Linked DNA regions of Kluyveromyces lactis. The protein of the gene in region 1 purifies or fractionates together with the protein of each later gene. This does not show direct contact. Links are inferred from orthologs where the notes say so. Each region holds a gene or a part of one and is shown on either strand. Other genes may lie near its edges. The genes, in order: MRP13 and AIM23.

What was found.
Region 2: the proteins of MRP13 (region 1) and AIM23 purify together in Saccharomyces cerevisiae (affinity purification with mass spectrometry; 3 studies listed by BioGRID). This does not show direct contact. The link is inferred for Kluyveromyces lactis from reciprocal best matches to the Saccharomyces cerevisiae genes MRP13 and AIM23.

The regions. Positions count from the first base shown.
Region 1 is NC_006042.1:772,243-775,477, reverse strand, and holds MRP13 (mitochondrial 37S ribosomal protein mS44 MRP13), read right to left. Parts: upstream 1,759-3,235; coding exon 793-1,758; downstream 1-792. Other genes in the region: GCD2 (translation initiation factor eIF2B subunit delta), read right to left, coding at 1-353; KLLA0_F08283g (uncharacterized protein), read left to right, coding at 2,147-2,662; RPL11A (60S ribosomal protein uL5), read right to left, coding at 2,775-3,235. UniProt on the Saccharomyces cerevisiae protein: Component of the mitochondrial ribosome (mitoribosome), a dedicated translation machinery responsible for the synthesis of mitochondrial genome-encoded proteins, including at least some of the essential transmembrane subunits of the mitochondrial respiratory chain.
Region 2 is NC_006041.1:1,376,645-1,379,780, forward strand, and holds AIM23 (Aim23p), read left to right. Parts: upstream 1-1,454; coding exon 1,455-2,498; downstream 2,499-3,136. Other genes in the region: URA2 (bifunctional carbamoylphosphate synthetase/aspartate transcarbamylase), read left to right, coding at 1-783; KLLA0_E15401g (uncharacterized protein), read right to left, coding at 2,604-3,136.

The DNA.
Region 1 (3,235 bases):
ATAGCACTCGAAACTGCAAGTAAAGAAGCTCTTCTTTCTTCAGCAGTCTCTAGATGACCAAATAGAGTCGACTTCTTGGTATCATGTTTGACCGGGTCGGCTGCTTTATTCTTTTTTGCAGCTAAGAGATCTCTTTGTTGCTGCTTCTTTTCACGCTTAGCAGCAGCTTGCTGCTGCTGTTTTTCAATAGAGATACCACTAGCTTGCTTACTGGCTGCTCTCTTTGCAGCCTTCTCCTTCTTTTTCAGTTCCTTCAACTCTTTATTAGATAAAGGTTTTTCTCCTTCTTGTGCATTTGCCGTCTTTTCAGTATTAGTTTCTTTCCCTGAAGCCTCCTTAGCTCCTCCTGTCATTATTGGTGATTTGATACCTCAAAGTATACCGTTATTTGCCAATAGATTTCCGTTGGATCACAGGAACTGCGAGATCATCGATTGGTATTTATGTCAGCTTTTGAATAATTTCACCAAAATTGAAATTCTTAAAAAGAATGATGGAAAACTCGTTGACGGTGATTTCCTTGCAGATCGAACAAACTCAGTGCCCGAGTTGGCTAGCGGGAGTGACATGGTACCAGGCGCTAATTGACGAACATTTACTCAATTTGCGATGAATCCGTGACGGCACATCAATAATTATATAATAGAAGTATATTGTGTGAGTTTCTTTATGAATTATGGTCATTTTGTTAATGTTTTTTGAATTTCTAGTAATATTCTTAACTGACGTTGATTCTTATATATATATACATGAACGGTTCTGGGAAATATTGGTTACGGATAAGTCTATCCTTTATTTCGTTTCTTCTGCTTGTGCATCTGCATGAGCTTCTTCTGTCGTTTCAGATTCAGTAGCCTTTTGAGTTAACAGCTGTTTGTATTGGGATACGTATTTGTCGTAAATGTCAGCAACCGAGTTTTGCGCTAAAACGGCTTGATAGTTTTCAACAAACTGTTGCAGCTTAGCTTCAGTTGAGCCGAAGTCTAATGCTGTTCTGCTCAACAAATACTGGGTGGTGTTCTTTGTCAAGAAAGTCCTTAATTGATTTTGGCTTGCAGTGCTAACATCGATCGATGGCAAGTTAATTTCAATATTTCTAGCGAAATTAGGTAATTTCACCTCAACGTTCTGTTGTCTACCCAAAGCTTGAACAATTTCCTTTGTTAAACCAGTTGTATCTTCTCTTTTGGTAACAGTCGATGATAACTTCCTTAGGCCTCTCTCTACCATGCCGGAATCTTGAACGTTTTGGAACGCATTTCTATGCAATTGACACATCAATACAGTATTATACCATACATCTACGTTATAGGCTTCTAATTGCTTTGCTTTCACCAATAATGGCTGTATTTGGTACAGAACATTCAAAACTGCTCCTAAAGCACCAAACTTGAAAGTGGAAGTTAACAACATGTTTTGTAGATGCTGGGGAATCAAATAACTCCAGAACTCTTTCCTTCTAGGTGTGATATTCTTCCAATCTCTAACCATGTTTTCCAACTCTTCAGCTGACGATGCGTTCAATATGACGCTATTGAGAACTGATGCACTTGGTCTTAACACTGATGGTCTAGGTTGAATAGGAAGTTTAGTTTCTGGATCTTTCAAATCCATGGCCAACAAACGGTTAGCATTCTTTTTGCGGTAGATGTATGGTCTTAGAGTCTGTGGTGTCTTGACAAATTGTAAGAAGTTGTCAAAGACCGCACGAGACTCTACACCAGTTGAAACCGATCTTGTGAAAAACCGAGAGAACATTCGCTGCTTTGACTGTTATATGAGGATTAAAATCAGACCTTTGTTCCTACCGCTGGCTTTTTCAACCAAATCAGAGTATTAATTGTGTTACCTCTGCCAATAACCGATGAGTTATCCCAATGATTGCAGCTGATGAAGCGTGTTTTTCTACTGTGATGTGGTGATTCAATCTTCAAGCTTTCCTCTGGCTAGTTTCCGCTCTACATAGAAATGTTGAAAACATGAAATTTTTCAACACGTACAAGATGATATCAAAAACCATATTAAAAACCTGTCTATGCATAAAGACATTGGGGCACTTATGCTTAATTGCAATCATCGATAAGCTGTTCTAAGAAACACTCTTCGCTAATTCCAGCTCCGAAAAGACTAAATAACCAGACCAAACATGAACTCTGTACTGAAAATGAATACTGAGTTGGGATATCAAGAGTATCTCGAGAAAATTACTCTTGAAGCCAATGGTGTAACCAGCGATGAGACGACGTTACACAGCAAGGTGGCAGACATATTTCGAGAAGAAATTGAAGTAAACGGCTGTTTGAGGGAAAGTTTCAATGTTTATGAGGATGTGGATGGCAATATTGAAAAATGGAGAAGTCAAATATGGCTTGAGAGACCAGAAATGTCCGCAGAAGTCCGATACGCATATTTGAAGCACCAGGAATTGTGTCTCGAAAGACTGATATCCAAAACGCTGCCGAAACAGCTTATTGTACAAGAAGAAATGTTGAAGTCAGTTACAGAACAGATCAGAGGTGTGCTAGAAACTCAGAAACAACAGTTGGAACAATTATCTCAATACAGAACTAACATGGAAGAATCTCATAGACAGGAAATTGATTCATTGAATAACCGCTGGCGGTTGACGTTGAATGACAATTTAGAAAAGGCAACAATATAGATATTCTAATATTTGCAGTAAAAATAATAATTTATCTATATATTACGATATAATAATATTCTTGCTTTGATAAAACGATAGATAGGACACTTTTTCAGTTTAAATGGGTTGTTTATTTGTCCAAAACTTCAGCATCGTATCTTTGCTTGAACCAAGCGATGGTGTCTTCCTTGGAAGTCTTGTGAGAGTTACCGATTTTAGATTGACATCTCTTTCTTCTGGTGACTCTGGCACCTGGTCTACCCATGACAATGTAGAAATCCATACCGTAAATACCGATACCTGGGTCGTACTTGATACCCAAATCGATGTGTTCTTGGATACCGAAACCGAAGTTACCGGTAGCAGAGAAGTTTCTGTTTCTCAATTGGTATTCCTTGACCTTCAAACCTCTTTCCAAGATTTCTTCAGCCTTTGGACCACGAACAGTAACGTGGACAGCAATCTTTTCGTTTCTTCTGATACCGAAAGTTCTGACAGTGTATCTAGCCTTGGATTGAACTGGAGTTTGACCAGACAATTGTTCCAAAACCTTGGAAGCTCTGGTCAATCTGTCACCAGATTCACCAACAG
Region 2 (3,136 bases), on another chromosome or scaffold:
ATGTTCTACGAACCATCAACCCGTACATCATCTTCATTCATTGCTGCTATGGAACGTTTAGGTGGTAGAACTGTCAACATTAACACTTCTGCATCTTCTGTTAAGAAGGGTGAAACATTGCAAGATACCATCAGAACATTAGCCTGTTACTCTGATGCAATTGTCTTGAGACATCCAGACGAAATGTCTGCCCACATTGCTGCCAAGTACTCACCTGTTCCTATCATCAACGGTGGTAACGGTTCTCGTGAACATCCAACTCAAGCCTTCTTGGATCTATTCACTATTCGTGAAGAATTGGGTACTGTCAACGGTATCACTGTTACCTTTATGGGTGACTTGAAGTTCGGTAGACCAGTTCACTCCTTGTGTCGTTTGCTACAACATTACCAAGTTAGAATTAACTTGATCGCTCCTAAGGAATTGAGGTTGCCTAATGCCTTGCGTAAAGAATTGCAAGATTCTGGCTTATTAGGTATTGAAAGTGAAACACTAACACCTGAAATCATTTCCAAATCCGATGTGTTGTACTGTACAAGAGTGCAACAAGAAAGGTTCGAAACCGAGGAAGATTACTTGAAGCTCAAGGACACTTACATTGTTGACAATAAGATCTTGTCTCATGCTAAACAACAGATGGTGGTCATGCACCCACTACCTCGTGTTAATGAGATTCGTGAAGAGGTTGACTACGATCATCGTGCAGCTTACTTCAGACAAATGAGATATGGTTTGTTTGTCAGAATGGCATTGTTAGCCATGGTTATGGGTGTTGAATTATAAAGGAGCTAAACAGATTCGCGTTCGGAACTTTTTTCAGAATCAATCCAAAATCAAACAAAATAATTTAAACATGGAAGTAAATCGTTCATTTTACTTTAAATTCATCAGAAGGAATTCCTTAAACTAAGAAAACTCTTTTTTTGTGGGGACTTGAAAAGAGATATTTAATCGGAGGAAGAAAACTGATGAAATATGACTAAACTACCTTCATCTGTACCATAGTAATACAAGGACTTTCATAGTAGGAAAATAACTTCCTTAAAATTACAAAGTGACTTTTATCTATTGCACTTTCTATTCTTTGAAATGCTCAAAATTTCAGATACAATTAGTATATTTTGACATATATATCATTTTGTCGTACATATATAGTTCAAAGGTTTATCCTTACATTCACATCTGCATCGTTTAATACATTAATATTTCGCATCGACTTTATTTTCATTCTATTGTTCTCTTTTGTTTGAACCTATTCAGCTGTCAGTCTCTAGGCAAAACCAGCAACATATTAGTAAAAATGATCACGTGACAGATATCAACGCTTTCCCTTCTCTGTCAGAATATCTCAAAATCTTAATATGAAAGACAGTTGTATTTTTTTGATTTGATTAAGTTCAAGTCATCTCCGATGATAGAATTGCCTTGAAATGTGGTACGTTGGGCTGAAATAAATGAAGTACCACTATATACAGATGCTCAGAACTACTTTTAAATACAGCATTTCTTCAATACGTTTATTTTGCAATAATCGGGTTCTCCAGAACGAATCAAGGGCTGTATCGGATCTTCTTTTTAACCTACCAACATACAATCCAGCGACACATCGAAAGAGCGGTAACAATTCTCCACATAAAAATCGTGATAAACACCGCCATAGAAACGGTAATAAAGATCAACGGAATAAAAAACTTGTTTTCAGATGGAATAGTGGAACAGAGAAACAGCAGGCAGCTGCCAACTCGGTGCTAGAGGAAATACTAGCAATAAATTCAAAGGGTAACATCAAGGCAATCAATCCAGAAACTAGCAAGCTAGAAGAAGCCAATATTAGGAACTTTTTGAAGGGCGTTAACCTTGAGATAAATGGGATAGCTATGGTGAGTATCGATAATGCTGCGTCCGGAGATGTTCGTCTACCCATTGTCAAAGAAGTGCCAACAAGACAGGCATTAAAGAATTATTCCGACAAACTATCTAAAATTAAAGAAGAAGAACTTATAAAATTGGGTGTCAATATAAAGAAAACTGGCCGTCGCTCTCCAGACTCGAAAGCGGATTCATCTTGGAAATCAATCAAGGTTTCATGGCAAATATCGGATTATGATTTGAAAAAACAGAAATGTAGTGAAATTGTTTCTAATTTGGAAAAAGGTAGCAAGATTGCTCTTTTCATTAATGATAAAGACTCTTCTAACTTGTCACCTATAGATGAGGAGGAATTAGAAGCGATGCAGGAATCTTCTATTTCTAAAAAGGAAATGAAAAGAAGGGAAGAGGTTTTGGAGAAGCTAAACGAAATAATCAGCGAATATTCATCACAGATTACACAAGAAGGTTTGATCAATCAAAGAATAATTATGAAAGTAACTCCAAATCTTGTAAATACTAATAATGGAGTTGATAAAAAAGCTCTCAAGGAGCAACGGAAACGGGAAAGGCAGGAAAAGCTGCAACGCAGAATTGAGAAGAAAAAAACCAGCGATTCCACCGAATAACCAGGAAATATCTCGGACGATAGACGTTATAATGGCATATGTATCTTGTAAATATTGATAATTAGCGTACATATATCGAAAAATTTCACGTAATTGTGATGTATTCTAATGAATCAATAATGCTCCGATTAGCGAAAGGTCATGTAAGTCACCGTAGCCAAATTGTGGAATGGAAACTAATAAGTCATCTAATGGGGACTCAGCCAAATTGGAGCCGAAATTAGACCAACCCTTTTTCTTTTGCTCGGGGTTAACGAATTCAAGGTGTTTTAAAGCGGTTATGAGCAAATGTTTGGATCTCCAAAGTTCAACTGTTCTCTTCATTTCTGACATAGAGACACTCCAGATAGCACCAGCGCCATTAAAACTGCCCGGAGAAGAAAGAAATAGCCTTTTCCGGGAGTGTGAGAAGTGAACACCCTTACCAAACTCAATAGAGGACTTGACAGTGTTAAGGTCAACTAATGTGTCAAGTTCCAATATTAACCAGACCTCTAGTGCAGAGTTGCCAGCATCTTTGAATATGTAGACCTTATTGAAGAGCAACTGTGATATTGCAATATAATCTACTTGATCATGAGTCCATACGTGCATTTCTGCACCAAAGAATCCATGTTCAGAGGATGCTATAATATCCC